3 linked regions of the Lonchura striata genome follow. The protein of the gene in region 1 interacts with the protein of each later gene in a pairwise test. Links are inferred from orthologs where the notes say so. Each region holds a gene or a part of one and is shown in the gene's direction. Other genes may lie near its edges. The genes, in order: NDUFAF3, SNRPA and NDUFAF4.

Region 1 (6,677 bases):
GCAAAGCTGTGTGGGCTCCTTGATCCAAAATCCTCCAGAGCACATCCAGCTGCTGCTGCTGGAATTCCTCCTCACAGTTCACCACATGCACGATGCTGCAGCAACTGCTCTGGCCTTTGGCCTGCAGCAGAGCACAACAGGGAGCTCAAACCTATTGCCTGGCAGAAAGGAAGGACACTTGGGAAGCAAGAGGCAAGCAGTACTGTGGGGTCACTCACTGGGCACTGCAGAACAGCTTCCTGCAGCTCAGCCAAGGCCCGCAGTGTCCTCTCTGTCACTAAAAGAAGGAGGGACACAAAATGGGACATGGAGTTCTCCACCTCCACCACTGGGTCTGCCCCAGGCTCAAACCAGACTGAAGGGGAACAGGAAGTGAAAGCCATTTGTATCCACCACCCCACCTCATTTTTGTTAAAAACACTTGAAAGGAAACAGGCCTATTTGCACCCATTCTAGCCCCGCTGCCACACCCGAGCTGTTGTACATGCGAAGCTCACCGAGAAGCACATCTAGATTGGGGTCGTAGCCCAACAAGCCCTGCTGCTCCACGAAGCTCTTCAGGTGCACCTTAAAGATGACACCCTCGGCTGTGCCCGGCCCCTGCTCACAGGCTGCGGCACAGGGGCACCGGCCCAGCACCGCCTTCAAGGCCGAGACGGCATCAGTGAGGGACGAGCCAGCGGAGCCGGAGGGCCAGGAGACGCGGAGCTGCCGCAGGACGTTCCAGCTCCTCTCCTCGCTGAGCGCAGGGACCAGGCGGACGTGGACCCTGCGACAGAGGGCGAGGCAGGCGCTGGGAGCGGCGGGCCCCGCGGCGAGGGGCCGGGAAGGACGGGATAAAGGCACTCACCCCTGGGCGCGCAGCAGCTGGGCCAGGTGGTCGGCCAGCAGGACGGAGCGCAGGTGGCGGGGCCGCGGGGCGGCGGGGCCGCGCAGGGCCGGGCAGTGCAGCACCACGCAGCCCGCCCGCGCCCCCGCCGCGGGAGGCGCCGGGCCGGGCAGCGGCCCCAGCAGGCGCCGGAAGGCCTCGGGGCGCCGCACCTGCACCGCCAGCCCCGCCGGCGTCTGCCGGCACACCCGCAGCGGCAGCACCGCCGGGCCCCGCAGCGACGGCACCGCCGACACGGCCTCGGGGGGCACCTGCGGGCGGAGAGGAGTCCGGGCTGCACGGGCACAGGGCAGCGGCGCCCCCGGCCTCACCCAACAGCTCCCGCAAATCCCCGCTCCCGAGCCAGCCCTGCCCGCGCCGCCCCGGCCTACCTGCCCGCCGGGAAAGGCGGCGCTCAGCGCGGCCCGCGGCGCCAGGAAATCCCGGTGGCGCAGGTTGCGGGCGCCGCTCTCCTTCACCCAGAGCGCGGCGGGCCGCCCCAGGGCCCCGTTCAGCGCCCGCAGCGTCGCCGCCACCCCCGGGCGGTTCTCGGCCATCTCCTCGCCCATGGCGGCACCGGAGGTGACGTCACGCCTCGCCCAGGAGGCCGCCATGTCGCGTGCGGCGCGCGGCGCTCCCGGGCGGCCATCTTGGTCACGGGCGCGCGGCCGGGCAGGGCGGCCATCTTGGGGGCCGGCGCGGAGCCACCATGGTGGGTGTGGCGGGCAGCGGCGCCGCCATGGCGGGTGTGTCAGGGCAGCACCATAGGGCTGCAACCAGGCACCCCGAATGGCCCCAGAGGGTGTCAGTCCGCTCAGCCTCGCCCAGCGGGGCCATGGTGTCATCCTCAGGTGTGCAGGAGTGGAATCCCCGCTTCTCCAAAACTGGGGAGCCCAGACCTAAAACCCTCAGGAGCAGAGCAGGAGCCAGAGGCCGTGCCGGGGTCAGAGAGGGCTGGGCAGAACCGGCTGCCCGGGGCAGGGAGTGCAGCGCAGCCGTGGGCATGGCCCACCACCCTGAACTGTGGTGGGAAGGGAGCTTTGGATGGGCTGGAGTGTGTGAGGCAGGCCACAGCTGTGGGCATGGTGTCACTTGGCAGACCCTGGCTGGCCAGTCCAGCCTGTCCACCATGAGCCCCAGGGCTTGGCTGGACTCTGACACAATGGCTGAGGAACCGCAGCAGCAGCCATGTGCCTGGCATGGCACAGCGATGAGCAGCTGCAGGTGCACACCCTGCAATGTTCTCCATGCCTGTCCCAGTGGGCTGCTCTCCTGTCCAGCACATGAGCAGTGTCCCGCTTATCAGCCCCAGGAAGAAGGAAGTGGAAGCGATTAGATCACGCCATCGTGGTCTTGATTACATCTGCAGAGCTGAGCTGCTCCACAGCAACGGTTCGAGCACGGATCTGACAGAAAGCTCACACTGCTGGCCAGCTCCCTGACAAGTGGCTGCTGAACTGGGGACAGGGCAAGGGCCCAGCACACCCCCAGCCCCAGGGCACCAAGCCTGATTGACAGGGAGCAGGAAGCACCAAACCCCACCACAACACAGAGCTAGGGACGTCCCTTTCTACCGTGCCCTTCCTGCCCTCCCCGTTAAGGCAGATGGGGGGGGTGGGGGGAAAGGAAGGAGCTCTGCCCGCAGGGCCCAAACCGGTTCCTCCAGGGCTTGTGTGCATGGGGGAAAAGGGGGGGGAGCAAGGCGAGGGCAGATCCTGCTGCATGGGCTCTTCCAGGAATGCAACAACTGACTTTGGGGCTCCTCAGGCAGCTGTGGAGCCCCAGGGCTGCAGCCCACAGGCAGTGAGAATCTGCAGCCCCAGGGCTGGAGTGAGAACATGTCCCCTAGCCGTGCCTTGGTGGGGTGCTCCCTGCACCACCCACAGCCAAGAGGTGATCTGAGAATTGCTGCTCACACCAGACCAACTGCTGACTGTCCGCAGGGCAGGAGCTGCCCAGAACCCCTGCCTGGCCAGAGGGACTTGCTGCACCTTTTGTCACTACTCAAGGTGGGTCCAGGCTGGATCCGTCCACGTCCCTGCAGGCTGCCCACGTGGGCCCTGGCAGCGCAGTGGCCTGGGGAGGGCTCTCGGAGGCGCCGAAAGAGCTTTGGAAAGACACGACATCCCCGATGGCTCTCTGGCTGCTGGCTCAGCGGGAGTGATCGTGTCATTCCAAAGCCATCTCTCTCCAGGGGCTGGATCCTGCCCACCCCTGCAGGCACTGGGGTGCTGCGAGGGCCGGCATGGGCAGGAAGTTTGGCAGTACCACATAGCCTGCACCACCGTGGTGCAGGGGACCACATCCACCCTGTGGCCAGGGAGCCATGCTCCCCGTACTCTCCCAGGAAGCCAGATCCTATTTTTAGCTGTTTGGGGCATATGAAAGAAGAGCCTCCTAGCTCGGTGCAGGAGCTGAGCCACGAGGCTGGACACCGGTGATCCTCCATCCTGACACCACCCTTCTTCCAGTGTGGCCCCAGGCGCTGCCCCAGCCCCGGGAGGGGTTGCAGTGGGACACGAGGCTCGGTGCGGGGCGAGGCGGTGGCGGGAGCGCGGGTAACGAAACCCCAGCGCAGCTGGGCACAGCGGGGACAGCTGCTTTTGGGATTCCGTTGCCCGCGCTGGCGCCGCGGAGCGATGGGCACAGGCACCACGGCCATGCCACCCCGACCCTGAGGCAGTCGGTGGGCCAAGAGGGGAGAGGGCGACTTACCGGCGGGGAGCGGGGCGGAGGAGATGCGTGGGAGCCACTGCCGGGCCGTTGTGATCGGGGGTGCCGGCAGAGACCGGGGTTGTGCTGCCGGCTCCCCCCGCGCCGCGGGCCGGGTGCCAATGGGAGGGCGGCACAGCCGAGCCAAAAGGAAACGGCTCCGAACAAAGCCCCGGTGGGGCTGGAGCAACTGGTGCCAGCCCATCGGCCCCCGACGGAGCCCGGAAACACGAGCCGGCCCCGAGGGAGGGCACCTGCCCCGGCACCTGCGCCCAGAGGCGGCACGGCCCGGTCCGGCCCCGCCGCCGCCGGCGAGGAGCCCTCGGCAACACCACGGGGGAATTCAAACCGCGTGGGGAACCCCACCGGCCCCACGGGGAGCTCCGCGCTGTTGCCCGGGGATCCCTGGGACCCTGCGCCGGCCAAGGCTGCCGGCTGTGGGAATTCCTGATGCCTCCAGCACGGCACGGTGGCGGGAAATGCTCTGCCGCCACTGCTGGGGAGCTTCCTGGTGGCCCCCGAACGTCAGGCTACGGCTGGCCCCGGGTGGGTGACACGGGTGGGGGCGCGGGTCCCTGTCCCACGGCGCTCTGAGCCCGCGGTGCTGCCGGCCTCACCGGGCGCGGCAGGAGGAGGGCTGAGGGTGCAGCTGGAGGTTCCGGCGGTGGCTCCGGGGGTCCAGCCCCGACTGGCAACAGCCGCCCGCAGTGGGGCACACGGGGACCCGGGGCGCCGTGCCGAGCCTGGGCAGCCCTGGGGCACCGGCGGGGCCGGGCCAGGAGCGCAGCCGAGACCCGGGCCCGCTCCCTCCCTCCCGGGGAGCCGCCCGCTCCCCTCTCACCTCCGGCCCCGCAGCCTTCGGCATAGCAGCCCGGGCCGGTCCACAGCCCCTCCCGGCGGCGGGGTCGGGGCGGCGGAGTCGGGGAGGCTCCAGCGGGACACCCCGCTCCCGCCGTGCCGCTCCCGCCCTGCCACCGGCCGCTTTCAGTTTCGCTCCGGCGCCCACCTGGGCTCTGCGGGTCGGAGGCGCCCGGGCGCGGAGGCAGCGGGTGTGTGAGTGTCGCTGCCCTCCCGTCCCTCAGGACCCCGGGCGGGGCACCCCGAGGGCTCCCCGGGAGCCCCGGTCCGGTCCCGCTCCCCCGGTGGCGCTGTCCCGACCCCGGCCGCCGGGGGGCGGTAGCGGCGGGGGCGGGGCCGCGCGGCGGTTCCGGCGGTGTCGCGGCCATGGCGGCGCTGCGGCGGCTCGTGCCGGCGGTCGGGCGGGCGGCGGCCAGGTACCGGCACCGTGCGACCGGCACCGGGCTGCCCTGCGACCGCGGGGAGCGCCTGTAGATGCCGTAGGGTGTTCGGGAGGTGTCCGTGGATCTCACGTGTCCCAGCTGCTCACTCTCCCCGCAGAGCGCCGTGCCGGGGTCACCGACTCACTCCGGCGGATGATGAGCTATACCAGCGGACGCGGGTGATGGTGCTGGAGCCGGAGTCCCCCAACATCATGTTCATCGAGAGCTACAGCACCCGCGGCTTCACCATCAGCGGAGACTTGGTGGTGGGGCCCTGCGCCGTCCTGCCCCGCAGCATCCTCCAGTGGAACGTGAGTGCCGGGCGGGGGGCGGGCGCTGCCGGTCGCCCCGAGCGCCGGGGCAGCGCCCCTGAGCGCCCGCCGTGTCCCCGCAGGTTGGCTCCCACCGGGACATCTCGCTCGAGAGTCTGTCGCTGTTCCGGCTGCTGGAGCCCCGGATAGGTACGCGGGGCGCGGGCTGCCCCCTTCGGGCTCCTGTCGAGGTGGCCGTGCGGGAGCCTCGGTACCTGCGGCAGGGCCAGGTCTGGGCCGAGGCAGCTCCGGTGCTGCCCTGCCCACCCTTCTCTTGCCCTGGTTGCAGAGATCCTGGTGCTGGGCACAGGGGACAGGGTGGAGCGGCTCCACCCCGCCACGCTGAAGCAGATGCGGGAGTGCGGGATTGCTGTGGAGGTGCAGGACACGGTAAGGGTGAGCCCAGGCAGCACCCCATTGAAAGGGAGGGGGTCATGTGCCGTGTGGGGAAGGGCCGAGTCTCCTTTCTGAGGGCCGGAGCTTCACTCACTCCCTTTTCTATTCACAGGCGAATGCATGTGCAACCTTCAACTTCCTAATGAATGAAAGGCGTGTGGTGGCTGCTGGGCTCATCCCCCCGCGGGGCACCTACGGAGTGTAGGCACTGCCGGCCATGCCCATGGGCTGAGTGGTTCTTCCCTGCCTGCCTGAAGCCCGCGAGGGTCACTGAGAAACGCTCCGTAGTGAACCGATGGCTCTGCACACAGGAGGGCTGTGAAATACACGGGCCTAGCTCTCTCCTGCAGTCCCTGGCTTCTTGGCCTCCCTGCCCGGTCTGGGTTGCAGACGGTGCGGCACAGCACAAGGCTTTGCTGGCAGCACTGGTCCCACAGCCCTGCCAAGGTCATGCCCCACACCTTGGCAAGAATCCTCACCTGAGGGAGGGTGAAGGCTGGTGGGGTGAGCTGTACATCCCCACGCACATCTGGAGGAAAATACATGTAAATGGGAAGTCCAAGAAATTGTGTGGTGGTTAATGCACTGCACATTGAGGCTGTAACAAATTGATGGGACATGTGCTCACCTTGGGCACTGGGCAGCACGTGTGGTGGTGGGATGCCATGTGCCAGCAGCTTCCTGAGCACAGCCAGCACCAGCAACTAGTGTGTCCCAGCTGGTGCTGGCCCGGCTTGGGCTCTCCAGTGGAGCTTTGTACTGCCCCAGCACAGATATCCCTTGGGCAGTGTTGGTCCAAGGGTGCTGCACCCCCTTTCACTGAAGGCTCAGACTCCAGCAGGGGACTTGGAAAGGGTCCCTGTCCTGAACTGGATGATTCATAATTGGGGATGTCATCCCTGGGGAAGAGAGTACATGTACCTAATGGCAGCTTCATGGCCTGAACTCTGCCACTTTGGCAGACTAAGGCAGGGGATGCAGCTGAAAGGTTAGGGTGGCTTTGCTTAGCAAGGTTCTTCATGAGTGTGTGGTATCAATACCATGACATTATAGTCAGGCTCTGGTTTTAGTGTATAAATCAAATTTGACATCCTCAAACCACTGATGGTA
Region 2 (7,022 bases), on another chromosome or scaffold:
CCTCCATGTTTCACTGTGGTGTTGGCATTTTTCTGTTGGTTTAGGCTGGGGTCACACTGTCCAATGTAGGTGACAGATTTTGGCATGTTATTGTAAATCCAGCCCAGGGAGTTTCTGGTATTTAATGTTTGTAACATCCCACTGAGGGCAGAGCCCCACACGCTGCCCTGCAGGACAGAGCTGGGCAGGGCAGCAGAACATGTTAGAGATAAACAGAATAAACAACCTTGAAACCAGCACAGACCAATTATGGCTTCTTCTTTGGCAGCAGGGCTGAGAGACAGAGACTTTCTACTATCTCAGAATCATCAATAACTCAGATTCCAACAGAGAGAGAAACAGAGCAGGCAAAGAGAGGTGGGAGAGAAAGGAGGACACAAACATAATCAGCTGGGAAGGTGGCACTCTGCAAACAGAACTGCAACAGACTGAAAATGAATGGGAAAGAAATCACTAACTCTGAAAGTTTTATTTACTATCAAATACATCCCACCCACTCAGCCCCACACAATCCAGATCCACTGCTCCAAATTTGGATCCCACTTCTCCCAGTCTCCTTCCAACCCCATCTCACTCTGGCAGTTGTGGAATCGAGTTTGGAGTGGGACTGAGTTTTTTGAGGTGGGAACAAGCCATTTTGAGGGGGGATTGAGCCCTTATGGATTAGAATTCAGTTGTTTTCAGTGGGATTGAGTTGTTTTGAGGTGAAGACTGATCTCTCTTGGTTTCTGCAGTGCAAAGAGATGAAGAACACTGCCCAAAACCCTCCCAGAACCCCAAATCCTCCAGAATATGTCTCTAAATCCTAAATTCCCTCTCAAACAACTGTGAAATGGTGGGACTTCAGACATCATTGATCAATTTCTTTCTTTTCAGGCCTGTTTTGGCTGATGGAGTTGAGTCAGAAGAAAATGAAGGTCAAAACAAAAGAACAACCAGCTAGGTGCCTTCCCAATATGGATCACAAGGGAATGTGGGTCACCAGATCTCTTCCCAACAAGGGTCCTTCAATGGGGGATGGAGTTGGAGCAGCACACAAAGCTCTTCTCTCAGTCAGGGCACTCACAGAGCCTCCCTCACCGATGGCTCCGTTGGTGCTGGGTCAAAGTTGAGTTCTATGAGAAGCTCTTCTCACATTGTGGACTCTGATAGGGCTTCTCCCCAGTATGGGCACACTGGTGCGTGGTAAGGGTGGAGTTGTGCTTGAATCCCTTCCCACAGTCGGGGAAGCAGAAGGGCCTCTCCTCTGTGTGAATCCACTGGTGGTTAATGAGGGTGAAATTGTACATGGATCCCTTCCCACAGTCTGGACAGCAAAAGAGCCTCTCCTCTGTGTGAAACCGATGGTGCAGGAGGAGATGTGATCTGATCTGAAACCCCTTCCCACACTCTGAACACTTGTATGGCCTCAAAACCTAAGGAGTTACGGCTCACAAAACCTAAAGAGTTACGGCTTCCTTATCAGAAAAGACATTCTTCCACCTCCGCTCCATCCCTATGGAACCACCAGGATTAAGGGGAAGAAGTTGACAAAAACCAGAAAAATTCTTAATTTGCAAGGAATTTATGTATCATGTATGAGATATATGAATATGCAACAGGCTATTGCTTTTAAGGTTATTCCTTTGTTCGCAAGGCATGCTTTTCGTGACCTAGTGTCCGAGAGCATGCAGATGTCCGCAATTCTTTGCTTTTTATTGTCTCATAGTGTCCTAATCCTATTTTTATTACACTAATTACTCTAGTCCAAATTTTTATTACTCCAATCTTATTACTATTTTTTATAAGATTCAAAAAAACAAGTGATTGGTGTTTTTCAACTGCAAGTACCTGGTTCTGCCTAAAATGACCCAAATGTGCCTAAATCCACCCTAAAATCCACCTAGTTTTTACTAAAATCATCCAAACATGCCTGAAACCAATACAAGAGGACCTAAAGTCACCCTAAAATGCTTGGTTCGATCTAAAATTAACCAAAGAAGCCAGAAATCTACCCAAATGGGCCCAAAATCACCAAAACAAGGGACGTAAAACCAACCAAACAGGATTAAGATTCACCCATATGGGCCTAAAATCAGCCAAAGGGATCTAAAATCCCCCATAAAACTCACCAGATTCAGCCTAAAATCAGCCAAAGGGGCCTAAAATCCAAGCTAAAAGGCTTGGAATCACTGCAAGGGATCTGAAACCCACCCTAAATCTGCCCAGATTGGCCTAAAATCTCCCAAATGGGCCAAGACTGAGGATGACACTGGTATCAGCTCCGAGATCCCTCTGGGACTGGCACCAGGATTGGAACTGGGCACGCTCTGGGATCGGCTCCGGGATTGCTCAGGGACCTCTGCATTTGGCCGTGCCCCTGGATGGGACTGGGCTGAGACTGGAAGGGATCAGGGCTTTGGGGACTTTGGGCTTTTCTGGGCTTTGGGGAAATTTGGTGGGAGTTTAGGGGGAATCATTGCATTTTTTGACGAAAATGATAGGGTTTTGGGGGAGTTGCAGAATTTTGGGGGATTTTGTAGATTTTGGGGGGTTTTATTGGTGCTTTGGGACGGTTGTTTTTCTGGAGGTGTTTGAGGGTTTCTTGAAATTTTTTGGCTTTTTGAAAAATTTTGGCAATTTTGTTCAATTCCCTGGAATTTCTGGTAGTTTTATTTGGAGTTTTAGGGGTTTTGGAGTAATTTGGTTGGAATCTGGGGGGCATTTAGTGGGATTCTTTGAGGGCTTGGGATTTTGGGGAGGTTTTTTTTGGGGTTTTTGGGTGTCCTGTACCAGAATTTCTTTGGGTCATGGGGGGATTTTGTGGGACTTTTTGTGGTTTTGGAGACATTTTTGGGCGGATTTGTGTGGTTTAATTATTGAGGGGTTTTTGGGACTTCAATAGATTTTTGTGGGCTTTTTTTGAAATTCTAAGGTATTCTAATGGGATTTTGTGAGATTTAATTGGGATTTTGTGGGTTTTATTGGGACTTTTGGGGGTTTTAAGGAGATTTTGGTGCTTGTCAGCCCTTTCCCACACCCAGGGACAACCCCAAAGCCCCCCAAAATTCCACTAAAAAACCCCCAAAATTCCCTAAAAATCCCAATAAAACCCTCCAAAATTCCAAAGAATCCCAGTGAAACCCACCAAAATTTAAAAAAACTCAAAAAATTTCAGTAAACCCCCCCAAAAACCCGCCAAAACTCCAATAAAATCCCCCAAAATCCAAAACCCCCCAAAATCTTGTAACACCCCAAAAGCCAATAACTCTCTTCAAAAACCTAATAATTCCCCCTAAACTCTCAACAAAATCCCTAAAAGCCAAAAAAAAGCCTCCCCAAAATCCCTCTCAAACTTCTCCCCAAAATTCCCCCAGACTCACTGGGGGCCGTCCTGGATGAGGGGGCACCGGCTGGTGGAACAGGAGCCACTTCAGGGGGATGCTTCAGGAACCACTTTTTGGGGAGACAGCATGATGGGAGACCCCCAAAAACGGGGCGGGGGGAACCCCTGTTGTGCCCCCTCCCCCTGAAACCCCCAGACCCCGGTTCAGCCTGGGCCTGGGACTCCCCGGGACCCCAAATCTTCCCCAGGAACCCCAACCCCCCCCGAGCCCCCCTCAAGGTTGGCCCAGGATCACCCTGGACCCCCAAAACCCCGCCAGGAGCTCCAGATCCCCCCAGCACCCCCTTGAGAACTCCCAGATCCCAATCGGGCCCAGCCCAGGATGTCCCCTGAGACTCCCCAGACGCTTCCCAAGACCCCTCCCCCACGGTCCCCTCTTAGGACCCTCATCCCCCATTCCCCCACCTGTCCCGGCCCCTCCGCAGCTCCCGCAGCTCCGGCCTCTCCCAGCGCCTCCCGCAGGACCCGCCCGAGCCCGGGGCGCCCGGGGCCACCGGGCTCATGCCCGGCCCTGGGGTCAGGGGACGCCATTTCCGTCTCGCCTCTGATTGGCTGCAGCGGCGCGGGGGAGGCGGGCGTAACTGAGGGAACCCGCACGGTGATTGGTTAGTTCGGGGCAGGTCACGCCGCTATTGGCTGGAGGGGGGCCCGCGCACGCGGCGGCGGTAGATCGTGCGGGGAGAGCGGCTGAGGAGGGAGGCCAGTTGGGGGCCTGTGAGGAATGGAGGGGTCGGAGGTGGCTTTAGAGGGAAATGGGAAGGGGCTGAGGCGGGTCTGAGGGGAAGTGAGGGTTCTGAGGTACGTGCGGGACGCATTTGGGGGATATTGGGCGGCTTTGAGGGTTTTTTGCGCGGTCTGAGGGGATAATTAGGGGGATCTCAGGTTGGTCCGGCGGGAAACTGGAGGAAAAATGGGGGTGTCTGAGCTGTGTCGGGAATGGGTTTGGGAGGAATTGCGGTGGTTTGAGGGACTTTTGTGGGGTGTGAGGTGGATCTAGGGCGAACGGGAAGGGAATTGGGGAGATTTGAGGGGGGTTTGAGCGGAACTGACGGCGTTTGAGGTGGGTATGAGAGGAATTGAGTCCGAGGCAGTTTCGGAGAGCATTGAGCGGGTTTGAGGGGTTTTTGCGGAGTCTGAGAGGGATTTGAGTGGAAATGGGGGCTTCTGAAGTGGATATGAGCGGAATTGAGTGGTCCGACGTGGGTCTGGGGCGGATTTGGGGGGAATTGGAGTGGTTTGAGTAGTTTTTGCGGGGTCTGAAGTGGATTTGGGGGGAAATGAGGGCGAAGGGGGCTCTGAGGTGGGTCGGGGGGGAAATGGGGGGATCTGAAGTTGGTTGGGGAGGTCTGAGATGTGTCTGAGGAGAAATGGGGGATTTTGAGAGGAAATAGGGGGATCTGAGGTCACTTTGGGGGGAATGAGGGAGTCTGAGGGGGCTTGGGGAGGAGCTTGAGAGGGTCTGGAGGGTTCTGAGATGGTTTTAGGGGTGTCTGAGGGGAATTGGGGGATATGGGGGGTTCTGAGGTGGGTCTAGGGGCAATTTGGCGGGGGTCTTAGGTGGCTCTGAGGAGGTTTTGTGGAGTCCCAGGTGGGTCTGGGTCAATTTGGGAGGGGGTCTGAGGGTGATTAGGTGGAGGTATAGGTGGGTCTGGGGTGGATTTGGGTGTTTGGGGTACCAAAAGGGAGGTCCCAGGGGGTGAAGGGGTCGCAGCCCCCAGACGCCCCCTGAAGCCCCCCTGTCCCCACAGAGAGGTCCCAGCCATGGCGGTGCAGGATCCCCGGCCCAACCACACCATCTACATCAACAACCTGAACGAGAAGATCAAGAAGGACGGTGGGGGGGGGCTGGGGGGTCTGAGAGTGTCCCTGGGTGTCCCCAGGGGCTCAGGCTGTCCTCTGGGTGTCCCTGCTGTCACCATGCTGTCCCCATTGTCACTATACTCTCTCTCTGTCCCCAGAGCTGAAGAAGTCCCTCTACGCCATTTTTTCCCAGTTTGGGCAGATTTTGGACATTTTGGTGTCGCGCAGTCTCCGCATGAGGGGCCAGGCCTTCGTCATCTTCAAGGAGATGAGCAGCGCCACCAATGCCCTGCGCTCCATGCAGGGCTTCCCCTTCTACGACAAACCTATGGTGAGACAGAGATTGGGGAAAAATTCTGAAATTTTGGGAAAAGACTGGAAAAACCACCATAATCTGGCCTCAAATATCCCCAAAATCCAATTTGTAATCTCTCCAAATTCACCCTGACCACCCCAAAGCTTCCCCGTCTATGACACATCCATGGTGAAACAGAAATCCTAGGGGAAAACACAGGGAATATGGGAAAAAATCCTGGAATTCTGGAAAAAAACTGAATTCCTTGGAAAAAAAACCCCAAATCCAACTGGAAATTTACAGAAAATCCCCTGGGAACACTCTCAAATCAAACTAAGAATCAAAGCTTCCTGTCTATAACAAGCCTACAGTGGGGCAGAAACCTGGGGAAAAAAATCTGACATTTTGAGGAAAAACTGGAATTCTGGAAAAAAACTCTGAAATTCTGGGGAAAAAAGGCAAAAATCTGGCCTCAAATATCCCCAGAATCCAACCTGTAATTGTCCAAATTCACCCTGAACACCCCAAAGCTTCCTCTTCTATGAGAAGCCCATGGTGAGACCCAAATTCAAGGGAAAATCCTGACATTTTGTGGAAAATCCTGAATTCTTGGGGGAAAAAAACACCAAAATTCAGCTTCAGATATCCCCAAAATCCAACCAGGAACACCCCTGGAACTTCTTGTTTCATGACAAGTTTATGATGAGAGAGAAATTCTGGTGAAAAATACTCAAATTATGGGAAAAATCCTCAAACTTTGTGGAAAAAACCTGAATTTCTGTGGAAAAAAAAAAAAAAAAAAATCCAGCCTCAGATATCCCCAAAATCCCACAAAAAACAGACAAACAAAACCAACCAACCAAACAAACAAACCAAAAAAACCCAAAACCAAACCAAATCCAACCAGAAATGCACCAAAATCAAACCACGAGCTGCCCCAAAGAAGAAAATCCCAGGAAAAACCCCAGAATTCCAGGAAAAGCCCTAAAATCCAGCCAGGAATTCCCAAAGCTTTCCCTTCTATGACGAACCTCTGGTGAAATCTCAAATTCAACCTGGAAGCCCTAAAAATCCATTGGAAACCCCCAAATCCCTCTTGGAGCTACTCCAAAATCTCTCTTGAATTCCCTCAAATCCCTCAGAAACTCCCAAATCCCCCCTAAATTTCTTTGAATTCCCTCAAAATCTCTTAGAAATTCCTAGATCCTTGCTAGGACTTCCTGAAATGCCTCCAAATTCCTCTTGGAGCTCCCCCAAACACCATCAGAAAATCCCCAAAGCCTTTCTGGAACCTTTCCCAAATCCCTCAGAACCCTTGAAAATTCCTTGGAAAGCCCCAAAATCCCTCTTGGAACTCCCCAGAATCCCCTCTAAATTCTCCCCCTATCCCTCTGAAATATGCAAAATTCTTCCTAGGACTTCGCAAAGTTCCTTGAAAATCACAAAATCCCTCTTTGAACTTCCCCAAATCCCTTGGAAAATGCCAAAGTCCCTCTTGGAACTCCTCCATATCCCTTAGAACTCTCTTCAAAATCCCTTGTA
Region 3 (8,144 bases), on another chromosome or scaffold:
GTATGGAATTCCTTGAATATTTGTAAAGAATCCTTTGCATGTGTCAGGCAGATTTTTAGCTACTGCATCTAAAAACACAGGTATAGGACATGGACTCAAATGCTACTTACCCAGCATAACACTGATTAAGCCACTGAGCTATTAAAGCACACTGTAACTTCTCCAGCTTCTTAAGATCTATATATAAGCCTTCTTTAGGACTGAGATATATATAAAATGGTTTTAGAAGTGTTCACTGAGGTCATTTTGGCTTTCCTATTCTACACAAAATTTGGCCCCCCATAGGTAAACAAAATACTTCATTTTTTTTATGTAATTCACACCTGCAAATACCCTATTTGTAAATTGCAGAAGAATGCAATCAAAGTGTAAAATTAATAAATAAAACTGGTTCTCCAACTACGTACAAAACCATGGAAAATCAATCCCTTGATACATCAAGTCCCAGATAATACAACTAAATTATAAAGTTATGTATACAAAAATGCATCACACTGGTATAAATATGTATGTGTCATCATAAATTAAAACCATAGAGAGAGATTAAAATATCATTTGGGGATGGAAAGATATTACATTATTGTAGAAGAGCCTCTTGCCAGCACACTTAGGTTATATATTTATTATTTTTCATGTGTTATATTTCATAAAAGAAACCCCAGCAGATAGCTAATATTCTGAATCCATTCACCAACTCTATTCCTGACTATCAGAGAGCTACTGCAGTGGCAGTGAACTAAAATCATGGCTACTGTTACTGCCTCAAGTCAGTACAAAGGATGTTGTTTGTCTTGGGTGATGTTGGAGCACCAGCAAAGCTACCCCAAAGCCAGCCCAAGATGAGCCAGTCACCTCTCCACTCCATCCAGCCTCTTCCCATTGCTGGTTCACCTCCTCCTACTCACTGGAGCTGGCACAGTTCTTTCTGCCACTGCTGCAGAGAAACAATCTGGGAACAAAGTGCTAACTCTCACAAACCAACCAACCTGGCAGCAGTATCAGTTCACATTATTCACTCCTCCTGTCACATGCCTTTTTTTTTCCTCCTGTGTTTCCAGTAGCTTTCTGTGGACCAGCCAAACCATCGGTGATTGATAGAGCTTAGAAGAGTTAGGAGAGCTCTTCTCTTTCTTAAATCAGACCATCTGTGTGATGCTGTTTGCTCTGGGGATGTTCCTACATCCTGACACTGGCAAGAAGGATGAACTGAAACCAGAGTTACGAGAAATAATAGGGCTGTCAGTTGTCTCAACTAATATTGCAACTGAGAAGAGAACATGGGGTGCTGAAACCTGTGAGTAAAAATTCAGTAAAAAGGCATGTGTAACTGATGAAATTAATTAATTCCAGTATCAGGCTGCCTCATTCTCAAATATGCTGTCTCCTACTGTGCATTTCCAAGTCAAAGTAACCTGCTAATTGAGAAACAACATACAGGAAAAATATGGAAGATTATGTCAGGTATCAAGCCACAGTCCATCAGGAAAATTTAAATGCCATGTCTTTGAAATTAGTATTATCTGACAAGGAGCTGGTGATCTGTCTGGGCTGGTGTGTGAGTCTGTAACACTGAGCTTGCTGCACTTGCTATAAACTTCATCCACATAAGGACTTGACAAAAACTCCTTTAAATAAAGCACTGCAGCCACCTAGCCTTGAAAATATGCAAGTGTTCGGGAACATTGATCACAGACTGGAATTAAGCAAAATCCTTCAACGTAGATCCTTCTGTAGATACTTCAGAGGCCAGTAAAAGATGGATCAGTTGAAACCAATAATAGAGAAATAATCTGAATTAAGTAACAGAACAACCAAAAATCACTGAAAGGTGAAAGTGATCCATCAGTAAGTCCATCTCTCTTGAGTTCATCTTTACAAGGTTGCAGGACAGTCATTTTTACTTGGCTCATAATCAATTCTTGCTAATGCTGTGTTCTCTGGTTCTGCCTAACACTGATGAGGTAAGGAATAAAAGGATCAATGCTCTCATTGTGCTTACTGGTAAACCAGTAATCTGGATAGAGGACTCAGTTCCCTGAATCCTAATGATATAAGAATTTGCTCAAGTATCCATTTAGACTGACATCAATTATGAACAAACAACAACAGAAAGATGAGAATAGGAAAACAGTTTCAGTGGTAGAAAATGTGGACAGAATCAAATACAAACCTCTAATGCTGCTGTATAAAAGCATTCCTCATTTTCCTCTGTGGTTGACTGCTGTGCCATTCCCAGACCTCAAATCACAAAGCAAACCTCACCTGCCTCCTCTCCAAAATTCTCCAGCTGAGCAACTATTACCAAAAAATGGCTCTTATTTCACTGAAATTACCTGCCCATCTGGACTCATATTCTGATTCCTGATCTTTTGAGTAGTAAAGACAGCAAAGAAACTTTAGTAGTACCCACCCACACAGTAACACAAGTTAATGACAGGCTATTCTCCCTTCTCTAAAGCAAATTTTCAATAGGTCAATCAGACTTTTGATGCTAGTTAAATACAAAAATTAATTTTTCATTTTCCACTCAGTGATAGAACTAGCTGAGAAAGAAACAGTACACACAACACATAATCAAAATTGAGATGGAAAACAAATAGATTCAAAGAACAGTCACAAATGTACTTCTTACTTTCCAGGCACCCAGTAGCTTTAGAAATTTCTCTCTTAAGAGGTATGGAAGGATTACAAGGAGATCTAGTGTGGCAGCCTATGGCACACATATATCATGAGAGTTACAGTATTTTTCTCTGATGTGCTGTCCGGTGTTCAGAACAGGCTGCTACGAAAACTTTTTGAGAATACGTGTGTATGAATCCAGCTGGATAGTCTTCTCATGGGCTGTTTTGTTATTTTTGAATTCCCTGGAAAGACTCAGACTCCTTGTTCAAGAAAAATGCATCCCATTTGAAACTCTGTCTAAGATGAATACACATACATTCATTTTTTAATAATCACACTTGCAGATATCTATATGCTTTATATGGAAAACTATCCAACCTCTTGATTACTGATATTTAATATCAATATAGTCACATTGGTAAAATACCAAATTATATTAAAAATATTGTTTTCAATCTCTATTCTTCTGCTTGCTACAGTCTAAGAAACATTCTTCAGAATAAAAATCTTGAACTTTTGATGCATCTTTATACATGAAAAGAACAGCTTTGTGCTATCCTCAGTCGTAGGAAGTGACAGGCAGAGCATGACATCACTCTTTATTTTTAACTGACTGCTTTCTGGTGAATTTATTTTGCTGCCAGTACATATTACAGCAGTGTTAATCACATTCATGCTTTATCAAGACAGAAGCCCTGTGCTCTGTTTGGTTCTACAAGCTGGGAGTTCTTAGCTTTTGGAGGAGAAACTTTGTTTCAAATTTGCCACAATAGCTGATCCACAGATGGATCAGTAAGAATACAAATGCTAAAGTACCTGTGAAAGGTCTACAACTACCAAAGGCATCCACGGGGATTTTTGCATTACAGCCACACCACACAGATTCACCACTCACAAAAGTATCAAATCCTGGACTTAAGAACACAGGTTTAGTCAGCAAGTAATTGACTACAGATATTTAATTAAACTTGTCACCTGACTTCAGCAGATTTTAAGTTTCCAATTATCACTGTATCACTAGTCTCCTTAATTCATTCACATGCAATATCAAAAATAAGACAAGGTCAGTAAGCTTATTACCAGAGAACAAAAACATGTTTCTGTTCTCCTACAGACTGTGAGAATCTTTAAAATAAACAAATGGAGAAACTGCATCTTCCTGATTCCCAAAGAGAGCAGATATCCAGCATACACCACCATGTTTATCCTGCCTTGTTTCCACTGCCTTTCTAAATCAATTTGGCTTCTCTCTAAGGAAAACACAGCCATTCATTAATCCAGCATTAAAGCACACTGCAGCCTTGAAACTATCACATCATAATTATTATTACTAAACAATGCTATTAATAGAAGACCAAGTTCTGAACCCCAGGTTTTATATGCCCACAATAATAAGAAACACTAGGTAGATGAGGTAGATGCAAGGGCAGAAAAAAAGGTGTTTCCCACCAAAAAACAAACAAACAAAACATCCACCAAAAAAAAAAAAAACCACACACAAAAAGAAACCCCCAAAAACTACAAGAATGCTGGTCTTTTCAGTGTTCTTCATTAAATTCATTGAAAGTCCCACTTCAAGTCACTTCATTCAGGCAACTACTATCATGAACTAATTGGTGGCCCAGAAGGCACTAAGACTCTGCAAACAGCACATACAAAATTTAAAGCCATAAGGGAATTATTTGTTGGCTAATTCACACAGCAGCTGGAACAAACAAGTCATTAATCTCTCTTGGTAAGACACCTTATCAGTCGTGGCTGAATAAAGTAGTCAACCCTCAGGCTTTACTGCTTCTTGAATCAGGCCAGTAGCTCTTACTCTTTCTGCCTCCCTTTCTCTAAGGATTCTGTATATTTTCACACACTTCTTGAATCTATGAAATGACTCCCATCTCAACAATTTTGATTCTGTCGACAAATTTACCTTTCTTAACATACACGGCTTAAGGCCTTCTCAACATTTTGTCACAATTAGTTTTCACAATTTTTGCAAAGTCAGAAGAAAGTTTATTTGGTCGAGCTGCAAAAAGAGGGTCTGCACCCTGAAAGCGTTGTGTAGCCCACAAATTCCCAACACTACTGGGGAATTGTCCCTCGCTGCCGCTCCGACCCGTGCCTATCGCCGCCGATATACAAACAGCCACAGTCACGCCATGGCGTGTCCGGGGGCTCCGCCTGCAAAGGAAAGCGTGCGGCAGCCACAGCTCGCACTTCGCGAGCATTCCCGGCGGGAGCCGCCCGGGCCGGGCTCGGCTCACGCCCGCCTTTAGGAAAGGCACGGCAGGACCGCCGCCGCTTGTCTGTTCGCTCGCTTGTCTGTTCGCTCGTCTGTCTGTCTGCTCGCTTGTCTGCTCGCTTGTCTGTTCGTGTGCCCGCAGCACTCGGTTCATTCCCTTCCGGTGCACACCGCCCCTGCCCGGCGTGCCCCGCGCGCAGGCGCGGCTGGCGGCGGCGATGGGCGGGCGGGTGACCCGCGTGTTCCGGAATTTCAACGTGGAGAACCGGGCCCGCCGCGAGATCAGCAAGGAGAAGCCCACGGCAGCGCCGCGGCACCGCACCGCCCGGCTGGACGCCACGGCCGGTGAGTGCCGGCGGCGCCCGCCCGGTGCGGCGGCGCTGACATTGAGAGCGGCGCGGGCGCGCGGGGCATGCCGGGAGCGGGGCGGGGACGGCGGCAGCAGCGTGAGGGGCTGAGGGAGCGCCCGGGAGCGCTGGGGGACGGCAGCGGGGGCCGCTCGGTGGAGGTGGTTGAGGGGACGGGACCCGGGGGAAGTGGTGGGGCGGTGGGATGGCGGTACCGAGCGTGTGGGTGCCGTGTCCCGCCGTGCTGTGACCGGTGACCGGCCCAGCCGGACCGTGCGAAGCCGAGTCGCTAAGGTCAGGGCTGTGGGAGCAATGGCACCCTCCCAAGAAGGCAGGTGCGTTTGCGGGAGCCGTGCCGTGCCGCTGGGGAAGCGATGAGCTGGCAGAACTAACAAAAAGGAGACTCTTTCACTCAGATCAATCGTTTCTTCTTTTTTTCCTTCCCTTCCCTTCTTCTCACTGCCTTTAGATAGCCCAGAGATAAAAGAAGAAGTTCTCAGAAAGGACGATAGGTTCCTCACCTTGCTCAAAGATGTTTATGTCGAGTCCAGAGATCCACCGGTGCAGGTGAGTGCATCTCTCTACGACCCATACCAACATCAGCTTTGTGGTCTTCAAACTCAGCACAAAGGCTGTGTCAAGAAAAATGCTCTCTGTGCATAAAAGTTATCTTTTTTCAATAGATAAAAGTGGTATTTTTATTACTCTTCTATACATCAGTAACATTGAGTGTGTCTGACCCTGGGTTTTGAATGTGTGACAGATTGTAATTATACAAGCTTGTAAATGCAGACACAGTCTTCTTTTTTAGTATTGCGTTGATCTTACTGTTCTTCACCTAAATTCCTTTTTCTGCTTCCTATGAGGCAAGATACATCTCAAGCCTTTTGCAAAGATAAAGTAGTTTGCCAGAAATCATTTGTGGAGTTAGAAGAGACTGGGACTGCTAGGGAGCAGGGATGTGGTAGAGGACAAAGATGTTTACGCTTTAATGGAGTCTTTAACTCCTTTAAATATTGTACAGTGCAGAGACTTTTTTTTTTATCCAATTCATGAAGTGCCTTAGGTTTTTTTCCTACAATATCTTGTGGGTTGTGTGGTCATCATTTCCTTATTGCCACTGGCTGCAATCTTTTACTTTTACTTGAAAGCTAAAGCATATTCCTTCATAAAATGCAGACTGGGGCTCAGTGTCCTCTTTTCCATCATATTTTGCTATGGTTTGTGTATTTTAACTGTTTCATTATTGGACCACTTTATTCCAGCTGATTTATTCAGCAGTAAAATTTTTATGGTCATCTAGCAAAATTCCTAAGTCTCTCTAATTTGCCACTTATATGGTATTCAAGTCCAAAAATATTTAAAATGCAAATAGATTTTCTCAGTCTCTTCCTGAAATTTTCAAGAAATCTCTATCCTTAATTTCCATCACAGAGGTTAGGACTCTAATCTTGAAGTGCTGAAGTTCTAATTTCAGTATCTTTCAATATTCATGTATAAGCCTGTCAAGAGAGATTTGAGAAAAAGCCCAAAGTGGAGCAAATCTTTGCTTGATTCTATGCCTTCTCGGAGTTTACTGCCACAGACTTGCCATTGTGCTGTGTCTGCTTGCAGTTTTTAGAGCACAACTGAAGTGTAATCACAGAGACTTGTGGACAAAGCAATACAAAAGCTTTCTCCCATTCCTGATGTTATCCTGATGACTTTGTGCATTGTGTACGTGATGTGTACACACCTCTGTGTGTGTTTGGGGTGTCTGCCTATGGTAAGTGGAAAAACACCAGCTTGGGAGCCCTGAAGTGGCAGATTCCCAGAGACAGATGATCTTATTTAGAGTTGAAAAATCATTCATTATCCAAGCACAGTTTTAGCAAAAAGTAGAAGACATGGAGTGCAGGCCAGACATTCCTTGTAGCTCAGAAACAGACACACACAGGTGCTGTAATATCCACATCAGTCTTCTCAGCAACTGAGTTAATACGGAGTGTCTGTGTAATAATTAGTGGCTGTGGGCTCTGATTACTATATAAATACTTCTAAGTTTAAGAAAGGTTTAATTGTGCCTTTTTTTTTCAGTGTGATTCACTGATTAAATGTTACTTAAAGGAAATATGAGGAAGTGAAAGCTGTTTTGGAGATTATTTGGAAATATGAAGGAACCTTAGAGAAGACAGTTTGTGTGTCTACATGTTGCAGTAGTCATGGCAATTAAATTCCATATGATGCTGCAAAATAGCAGGAAAGCTTGTTCTCTAGACAGAGCAAAAGAAGGAATTTCTTTTAGTAGGAAAACTAAAATTTGGAAACAAAAGGAAAGGGAGAGAGACTACATGAAAAAGTTTTCCAGTGGTATCAGAAGGATACCAATTTGTTGTATGATTTTTTTGTCCCTTCCAGTGAATCAGTAGCGAATATTAGGCTATCTGGATTTACATTTGCCTACCAGAATCTGTAGTCTGCCTTGCATAAAGGGCTGCCAAGCCAATACAACGCTTAGAGTGCAGTGAAGAGAGGCTTTTCAGCATTTAGTTGGGAGTTGACACTCTATGTGGAATGGCTGTGAAAGAAGCTAGGCAGGCTAATCTGTTTTTAAAAAAATAGGGAAAGCTAACAGGAAAAGCTAAACAGAAAAAATATTTACGAAAGCAGTTTAGGTGCTACAGTATGCATAGTAAACAGAACTGCTGTTGAGCTCTTTTTGTTTTCCTTCCCTCGATTAGGTAAAAGATGGAGGTGGTGAACATCTTCCAAGTAAACAGGAAGAAAAGAGACTGACAAAATTAGGCCACTTGGAAGGTCTAGATGTTAAGAAAGTTCCTAAAGGCAAAATTTCCCTTGTGGAGGCTCTGACACTTCTTAATAATCATAAACTTCAACCTCAAATATGGACTGCGGAGAAAATAGCAGCAGAATATAGTCTGGAACTGAAGGAGGTCAAC

What was found.
Region 2: the proteins of NDUFAF3 (region 1) and SNRPA interact in binary tests that used the Homo sapiens proteins (3 or more experiments, as listed by UniProt). The two-hybrid records come from large-scale screens. The link is inferred for Lonchura striata from reciprocal best matches to the Homo sapiens genes NDUFAF3 and SNRPA.
Region 3: the proteins of NDUFAF3 (region 1) and NDUFAF4 interact in binary tests that used the Homo sapiens proteins (3 or more experiments, as listed by UniProt). The two-hybrid records come from large-scale screens. The link is inferred for Lonchura striata from reciprocal best matches to the Homo sapiens genes NDUFAF3 and NDUFAF4.

The regions. Positions count from the first base shown.
Region 1 is NC_134614.1:15,583,323-15,589,999, reverse strand, and holds NDUFAF3 (NADH dehydrogenase [ubiquinone] 1 alpha subcomplex assembly factor 3), read left to right. Parts: upstream 1-4,792; 5' UTR 4,793-4,804; coding exon 4,805-4,854; intron 4,855-4,978; coding exon 4,979-5,171; intron 5,172-5,254; coding exon 5,255-5,321; intron 5,322-5,460; coding exon 5,461-5,561; intron 5,562-5,679; coding exon 5,680-5,772; 3' UTR 5,773-6,133; downstream 6,134-6,677. Other genes in the region: DALRD3 (DALR anticodon-binding domain-containing protein 3), read right to left, coding at 1-121, 219-277, 498-769, 851-1,140, 1,261-1,437. UniProt on the Homo sapiens protein: Essential factor for the assembly of mitochondrial NADH:ubiquinone oxidoreductase complex (complex I).
Region 2 is NC_134637.1:4,272,439-4,279,460, reverse strand, and holds the start of SNRPA (U1 small nuclear ribonucleoprotein A), read left to right. Parts: upstream 1-4,009; 5' UTR 4,010-4,099; exon of another isoform or gene 4,100-4,183; intron 4,184-5,133; 5' UTR 5,134-5,146; coding exon 5,147-5,219; intron 5,220-5,343; coding exon 5,344-5,516; intron 5,517-7,022. UniProt on the Homo sapiens protein: Component of the spliceosomal U1 snRNP, which is essential for recognition of the pre-mRNA 5' splice-site and the subsequent assembly of the spliceosome. U1 snRNP is the first snRNP to interact with pre-mRNA.
Region 3 is NC_134605.1:75,117,707-75,125,850, forward strand, and holds the start of NDUFAF4 (NADH dehydrogenase [ubiquinone] 1 alpha subcomplex assembly factor 4), read left to right. Parts: upstream 1-5,051; 5' UTR 5,052-5,076; coding exon 5,077-5,203; intron 5,204-5,674; coding exon 5,675-5,772; intron 5,773-7,925; coding exon 7,926-8,144. UniProt on the Homo sapiens protein: Involved in the assembly of mitochondrial NADH:ubiquinone oxidoreductase complex (complex I). May be involved in cell proliferation and survival of hormone-dependent tumor cells. May be a regulator of breast tumor cell invasion.